Macaca fascicularis: one gene and its partner. The protein of the gene in region 2 binds, or shares a complex with, the protein of the main gene of each other region. Links are inferred from orthologs where the notes say so. Each region holds a gene or a part of one and is shown on either strand. Other genes may lie near its edges. The genes, in order: POLR2D and ERCC3.

What was found.
Region 1: ERCC3 (region 2) and POLR2D share a complex: the UniProt entries of both Homo sapiens proteins name them as parts of the TBP-based Pol II pre-initiation complex. The link is inferred for Macaca fascicularis from reciprocal best matches to the Homo sapiens genes ERCC3 and POLR2D.

What each region holds. Positions count from the first base shown.
Region 1 is NC_088386.1:3,675,126-3,679,396, forward strand, and holds the start of POLR2D (DNA-directed RNA polymerase II subunit RPB4), read left to right. Parts: upstream 1-1,228; 5' UTR 1,229-1,253; coding exon 1,254-1,326; exon of another isoform or gene 1,327-1,548; intron 1,549-4,271. UniProt on the Homo sapiens protein: Core component of RNA polymerase II (Pol II), a DNA-dependent RNA polymerase which synthesizes mRNA precursors and many functional non-coding RNAs using the four ribonucleoside triphosphates as substrates.
Region 2 is NC_088386.1:4,262,159-4,265,966, reverse strand, and holds part of ERCC3 (general transcription and DNA repair factor IIH helicase/translocase subunit XPB), read right to left. Parts: intron 3,789-3,808; coding exon 3,604-3,788; intron 2,212-3,603; coding exon 2,009-2,211; intron 1-2,008. UniProt on the Homo sapiens protein: ATP-dependent 3'-5' DNA helicase/translocase. Binds dsDNA rather than ssDNA, unzipping it in a translocase rather than classical helicase activity. Component of the general transcription and DNA repair factor IIH (TFIIH) core complex.

The DNA of each region.
Region 1 (4,271 bases), about 590 kb from region 2:
TTGGCCGGTCTCTCTCTCTTGCCCAGGCTGGAGTGCAGTGAGGCGATCATAGTTCACTGCATCCCTCAAGCGATACACCCGCCTAGGTCTCTCCAGTAGCTGGGACTACAGGCGCGCACCACAACGCCAGGCTAATTTTTGTATTTTTTAGAGAGGAGGTCTCACTATGTTGTCCAGGCTGGTCTTGAACTCTGGAGCTCAAGCGATCCTCCAGCCTCGGCCTCCCAAAGTGCTGGGATTTCAGGCGTGAACCACTGTGCCCGGCCCAATTCATTTGTTGTTAAATCAACAGAGTTTACAATATGACCTTCTAAACATTGTTGACTAATGAGCTAAGATATCGTTGACTAATAAGCTACGATTATTTCCTTTATTGTACAACCTTTCGTTTTCTCCAGTGTAGAAAACAGCATCATTTTTCATTTGCATTTCTTTTTTCTTTTTTAATATATATATATATATATATATATATATATTTTTTTTTTTTTTTTTTGAGACGGAGTCTCGCTCTGTCGCCCAGGTTGGAGTGCAGTGGCGCGATCTCAGCTCCCTGCAACCTCCGCCTCCCGGGTTCAAGCGAATCTTCTGCCTCATCCTTCCGAGTAGCTGGGATCACAAGCGCCCACCACCATGCCCGGCTAATTTTTGTATTTTTAGTAGAGATAGGGTTTCACCATTTTGGTCAGACTGGTTTCGAACTCCTGACCTCAGGTGATCCCGTCGCCTTGGCCTCCCAAAGTGCTGGGATTACAGGCGTGAGTCACTGTGCCCGGCCGTCATTTGCTTAATTTTCTATGCATCACCCAAATGTTCCAACAGACGTGTGGTAAAAGCCTCTGAATATCATTGTCCGCGTGCTCAGAAGTATTAGATAATCCATCACAAATGAATAAAATTTTAGAAGTGTAAGTCAGTGAAAGAAATTCGACCCGGCACGTTCGGAGTCGGCTGCCCTGCTCTCCATCAGCAGGCGTTCCTGCAGCTCATCTGACCCTCTCCGCCCAGAAAGGCCTAGGGACCTACCCCAGGACGTCTGCGCGGCGAGGCGCGAGGGAGGAGAGGGAGTGCAGGGCGGCCCTGGGCGGCGGGGAGCCTCCGGGACAACACCAGCAGGTCCCCTCGCTGCGCCCCGCCAGCCTCACACTCCCGGCCCCGCCCACCCCTCGGGGCCCCTCCCAAGACCACGCCCCTTCCGTGGCCGTTGCTCCGCGCTTCCGCTTCCGGCGGCGCTGGTGGTGGCGCGCGACTCAGCGATGGCAGCAGGTGGCGGCGATCCGCGGGCTGGCGACGTAGAGGAGGACGCCTCACAGCTCATCTTTCCTAAAGGTTGGGCTCGGGGCCGCCAGACTGCCCCGCGGCACTTCGCGTGGTCGCCGCAGGCCTGGCGTTATCCGCGCTTCGCCCAAGGCCTGGCCTCGGCGGCGGCTTGGGCAGACCCCCGCGCGGCGTAGGGCTGGGGAGGGAACGTGGACCTGGGAGTGGCCGCCTGGGCAACTGGGTTATTTTATGTGATAACAAACTGCGAAGTTCCGGGCGCTGGTGTCAAAGGTAAACAAAGCCGGAAACCCAGGTGGTGAGGACAGATTTTTAAACAGGGATAGAACGTTGCACTAGGGAGAAGAGTCCAGCGTGAACCGAACTCAACTTCGATTAGTACCGAACCTCTGGGCGTTTTAAAGGAGAGTTAGGGAATAAGGATGTGGTGAGCGGGGGCTCAGGGGAGTCGGGGAAGTGAGAAATGTAAAAAAGAGGGAAGAGGAGGGTCCGTGTGAACCCACCTTGGTTTGTTGACTGCAGCATCTATCGAAGTTAGGCCCCTACCCTCCCACCGAGGCGGAGAGACAGAGGCCTGTTTTCAGCCGTTGGCTGGAACAAACAAATTATTTTGTTTTTTTTTTTTTTTTGAGACGGAGTCTCGCTCTGTCTCCCAGGCTGGAGTGCAGTGGCGCGATCTCGGCTCACTGCAAGCTCCGCCTCCCGGGTTCACGCCATTCTCCTGCCTCAGCCTCCCGAGTAGCTGGGACTACAGGCGCCCACAACCGCGCCCGGCTAATTTTTTGTATTTTTAGTAGAGACGGGGTTTCACCGTGGTCTCGATCTCCTGACCTTGTGATCCGCCCGCCTCGGCCTCCCAAAGTGCTGGGATTACAGGCGTGAGCCACCACGCCCGGCCCAAACAAATTATTTTGGCAGCCTCGAGTTTTCTCAGGCACGCAGTGGTTGGGGAGGGTATTCCTAGGGATAAGGACCTCAAGACCTCAAGTGATCCATCCACCTTGGCCTCACAGAGCTGGCATTACAGGCGTGAGCCACCTCGCCCTGCATTTTTTTTTTTTTTTTTTTGAGGCAAGATCTCATTCTGCTACCCAGGTTGGAGTGCAGTGGTGTGATCACAGCTCACTGCAGCCTCAACCTTCCCAGGCTCAGGTAATCCTCCCACCTCACTTCAGCCCCTGGAGTACCTGGAACTACAAGTGCACACCACCACACCTGGCTAGTTTTTGTATTTTTTTTGTGGAGACAAGATTTCACCATGTGGCCCAGGCTGGTCTTGAATTCCTGGGCTCAAGTGGTCTACCTGCCTTAGCTGCCTAAAGTGTTAGAAAGTACAGGTGTGAGCCACTGCACCGGGCCTATTAATGGTCGTGATGACGGAACCTTACTAAAATTTCCAGATGACATACTGGCCAAGGAATTGTTTTCCTTTTTTAGCAACAGGGATTAATTATGGCCATTGTTCTTAAAATATTTGCACAAGAGAGAATAACATGCAGATCCCCTGATCTGTTTCCTTTTGTTTCCAAATAAATTGTGTGTGTGTGTGTGTGTGTGTGTGTGTGTGTGTATGCTTTCACTTGAAAATGTTTATTGGAATTAGCCATGGGGAGAAGTCTTGGATTCCTCCTCTCCGTAGTTATACAAAAGTGTCTGAACTGCCTCCCCCATCCCCATTTTGTTGATGCCGAATCCTGGGAATGCCTCCCAAAAGCTCTGTGGTAGGTCTCAGACACCCCTTTCCTAGGCCCTCTGAGTTACAGTTTGGCTGCCTTGACCTTCCTTGGTTGAAGGGAGTGAGGGTAATGTATTAGTAGTACTTGAATATTGTTCTTAATGAGAAATAGGGACAGCTGACTAGTTTCCTGGTGGCCTAAAAGTTCCATTCCTTTCCATTTAACAAGTAATTTTGGTTTAGTGCAGAAAGGGAGGCATCTGTTTTGTTTTGTTTTGTTTTTTTGAGACAGAGTGTTTCACCCTTGTTGCCTAGGCTGGAGTGCAGTGGCACAATCTCGGCTCACCGCAACCTCCACCTCCTGGGTTCAAGCGATTCTCCTGCCTCAGCCTGAGTAGCTGGGATTACAGGCATGTGCCACCATGCCCGACTAATTTTTGTATTAGTAGAGATGGGGTTTCACCATGTTAGGCTGGTCTCGAACTCCTGACTTTAGGTGATTCACCTGACTTGGCCTCCCAAAGTGCTGGGATTACAGGCATGAGCCACGGCGCCCAGCCTGGGATGCATCTCTTAACATTGATTTTTCCAGGACCTGTAAAAGCATCAAAGTTCCAACACACCGATTTGTAACTGATTAGCTACTTCTTCCCTTTTTTGTTTTGGCCTGATGTCATTTGTTACTGTCGCTTCAGAGTTTGGAGGTCCTGCAGTCCTGATATATAATGCCTTTTCCTCTACTCATTGCTGTGAGGCAGTAGTTTCTTCTGTACCTACAGTGCCTCAGTGTTAAAGATTAAAAGTAGTAAAGTTCCTGGTATACAAATAGGCACTCACTGTAGTACATCCCCTGTTATAGGCTGGAAGACAGAAAAAGGTGTTCTGAGGTTTTTGTTTAAACTCTCCTGCCCTCAGGTAGAAAATAGCTTTTGGTTACCTATTTTTTTATTTAGATTTTAATTTTATTTCAATAGTGCTCCAGCTGTATTGGTAGCCTATTATATTCAGTAGCAATGAGTACCTTTCAAATAAAAATAGACTTTCCTCCTGACCTACCACTTAAACTGTCTGTGTCGTGAAAGGAGAATGAGGCTCTTGTCAGTTACCCGGCTTGAGAATTGGGAAGGCGTTACTCTGAGGGAGGTGTTAGTGATTTCCCCGATAATAAACAGACCTATAGCACGTGTAAATGTGAAATTGCAAGTCATTCTGGCTTTTCCTCACTGTTGCTTCCTTTTCAGTGAGGGATTATAAACATGAATTCATGTTTATGAATGGTTCCTGCTCTAGGGGAATTCACTGTTAAGAGAAGGGCAGATAA
Region 2 (3,808 bases):
GAAAAACAGAACTGAGAAATTACCTGACCCTACTGAGTTTATGGTTATGTGAAGAGTTTGGAGAGGAATAATTAAATGTACAGAAAACCAAGCAAAAACAATGACAAGGCAATTATTAACTCCAAGGCAAACAAATATTCACAAAAAAGAAAATGTAGGGCCAGGCATGGTGGCTCATGCCTGTAATCCCAGCACTTTGGAAGGCTGAGGCATGCAGATCACGAGGTCAAGAGATCGAGACCATCCTGGCCAATATGGTGAAACCCCGTCTCTACTAAAAATACAAAAATTATCCAGGCCGTGGTGGCGGGTGCCTGTAGTCCCAGCTACTCGGGAAGCTGAGGCAGGAGAATCACTTGAACCCAGGAGGTGGAGGTTGCAGTGAGCCGAGATAGCACCACTGCACTTCAGCCTGGAGAAAGAGCAAGACTCCGTCTCAAAAAAAAAAAAAAAAAAAGTAATAGTACTCTACACCTCCGCCTGAACAATGACACTATATGGCTCTCTCTAAACATACTTACACAGTCAAAACAATGTAACAGTGAATATTAACGTAACTCCCAACTTGTGCTATTCCCATACTGGGAGAATGGTAGGAGAGAAAACAGGAGTGGGGAGAGTAGTGTACGTGAGAAAGCTAAACCCTCAACTCCTACAGTAGGAAGTTAATGGGCAATTTCTATAACTGATCATCAAGAAATTACTACATAAGCTACTGCTTAGAAAGATGAAGGTAGGCCAGGTGTGGTGGCTCATGACTGTAATCCCAGCATTTTGGGAGGCCAAGGCAGGAGGACTGCTTGAGCTCAGGAGTTTCAGACCAGCCTGGGCAACATAGCAAAACCCCATCTCTACAAAATATATAAAAATTAGTTGGGTGTGGTGGTACATGCCTGTAGACCCAGCTACTCTGGAGGCTGAGGTAGAAGGACTGATTGAGCCCAGGAGGTCAAGGCTGCCGTGAGCTGTGATTATGCCACTGCACTACAGCCTGGGTGACACAGTGAGACCCTAACTCCAAGAAAAAAAACAAAAAGAAAGAAAGAGAGAAAGAGAGAAAGAAAGAAAGAGCGAAAGAAAAAGAAAGAAAGAAAGATGAAGGTAAACAACAAAAAAGAGTGGAAAGTGGCTGTCTTCAAGGAATAGAATTGTGGGTGGGAAAATAGAAGCAGGGAATTGCTGTTTTTCATAATAATCTAAATGTTGACTTGGATTAAAAAGTCTTTCTAAATTAAATAAAGGTATAATTTTAGAAACCTGAGAAGCTTAATCTTTCTATGCCTTTGTTTTCCCTTCTATAAAATGGGAACAACATCTTCTATGGCTGAAGTGAGGATTAAGTAAAACATATGTATGGTACACGTAGCAGACAGCTTGACCAGTCTCCACAGAGGGCCTGGCCTTCTGCAACACTTACCGCACCTGAAGTCCTGTATCACTGTGGGAGCAAGTGCAGGCCTCTTCCTCCTTACCTGGCAGAGCTTTACAAGAGCTGGGTTTTAAGCAGATATTTGGCTGGAGCTATGGGTTGATGAGGATACTGCATGGGCGTTTCTAAGAAGCTCCTTCCAGATGCCAGTCTGTACGTGGGATGCCAGCCCAGCCCGTCTTGCCCTCCCAGCCCCTAGGCCATCCAGTCTGGCCTCCTCTCCACCCACAGAGCTCCCACAGTCCAAAGCTCCAAATGCCAACTCCCACCCACATTTGGAGCCCAGATCTTCCAGGGGGCCCCACCCAGCTCAGTCCAAGTCTCTGCTCCCTGTTCTTTGGGCTCCAGTGACCAGCCCCCTTTTCTCTATGCTCTAACCTCTGACTCCAACCACCTACTTCTAAGTCTTCCTTGGTTTACTGAGACCAGGGCCACAGAACAAGATCTTTGGATCCCAAGAGGTTCCTGAGAGGAAAAACAAAAAAACAAAAACAAAAAAACAAAACAACAGCCACCTTCTGCACTCTCAATGGGGAAGAGAAACTGGCCTGGAGGAAGCTCCAAGTTTTCAGTTCTTACTTGTTCAGTCGAATGGCATATTCCTTCAGGGCAAACACATTGTCAGCAAAGACGATAATCTTGTCATTCCTCCTTTCATGAAACTTGATCAGAAACTGGCAAGCTCTAAATTTGTTGGGGTTCATGGTGTACAGCAAGATTCGTTTCTTGGTTTTGATTGCTACATATTCCCGGTAAAATTCAGGAGACATAGGGCACCAAACCTGTGATGCAGTAAGAACCAGGGGTCATTTTACAAGTTTAAACATCACATAATTAAAAACTTTTGAAGACCTTTCTCTAGCAGAATTAGCTTTAAAACAAAACCACACCGGGCGCGGTGGCTCAAGCCTCTAATCCCAGCACTTTGGGAGGCCGAGACGGGCGCATCACGAGGTCAGGAGATCGAGACCATCCTGGCTAACACGGTGAAACCCTGTCTCTACTAAAAAATACAAAAAAACTAGCCGGGCGAGGTGGCGGGCGCCTGTAGTCTCAGCTACTCGGGAGGCTGAGGCATGAGAATGGCGTAAACCCGGGAGGCGGAGCTTGCAGTGAGCTGAGGTCCGGCCACGACACTCCAGCCTGGGCGACAGAGTGAGACTCCGTCTCAAAAAAAAAAAAAAAACACAAAACCAGTCAAGTGCAGTGGCTCATGCCTATAATGCCAGCACTTTGGGAGGCTGAGGCAGGCAGATCACTTGAGACCAGGAGTTCGAGACCAGCCTGGCCAACATGGAGAAACCCAGTCTCTAGTAAAAATACAAAAATTAGTTGGGTGTGGTGGTGCACATCTGTAATTCCAGCTATGCAGGAGGCTAAGGCAGGAGAACCACTTGCTCAGGAGGCGGAGGCTGCAGTGAGCCAAGATCACACCACTGCACTCCAGCCTGGGTGACAGAGACCCTGTTTAAAAAAAAAAAACAACAAACAAACAAACAAAAAAACCAAAACCAATGGTATGTGAATTAGAAATCAATACAACTGAAAATAAACACATGCACAAAACTAAACCCAACCTAATACCTCCTGTTGAACTGGATGCTTTCACATGTCAACCACTTAGAAGATGTGTAAATGCAATCATATCCCAGGAGTTATTTTCACACCAGCTGCCAGTGAGGGAAACCAGCGTCTTAGCCGGTAGCACCAGCAATTCCTCCACACACACAAGTCAGCACTGCTGCTGAGTACTGCCACCTATTTACACACCTCCTAGCAGGGCCAGGAGCATGTCAGTTAGGCCCTTGGGCCCATCAGAGCAAAACCCTTTGCTGCCAGGCTCCCAGGCAGCACTGTGGTATTGGGGGCCTTCATTATTCCCTGTGCCCTGAACGCTAATCCTCACCCACAGAAATCCATGACTGGTAAACCCCGTGGTTAGCAAAAAGAATCATCACAAATTCAGGGGTATGTGAGATATGTGACAAGGCAGAATACATGCAGCAAGTGGGTCTAGTACCACCCACTCACAGGGTGACTGAGGATCCTGCCTGAGGTGGTAGCAGGTAAGCCTAAGTCCTGACCTGTGTCTGCCCATGAGGAATCGATCTGATCACTCCCCGGCCCACGGGAGGAGGCCCTATCCCAGACACCCCCAGCCCAGGCCCAGCTACCTCAGCACACTGGACTTTGGCGATGTAACCATTATTCTGCAGCTCCATCCAGTTGGCTTCGTAGAGCTTAGGCCCAATCAGAAAATTTAAGTCCACAATCTTGTCATCTTCCCGGACGAGGGTTGCAGTCAAACCCAGCTTACAGTGGGCCTGCACGATGGTGAGCACCCTTCGAAACATCTTGGCTGAGGAAACAATGGGAGCG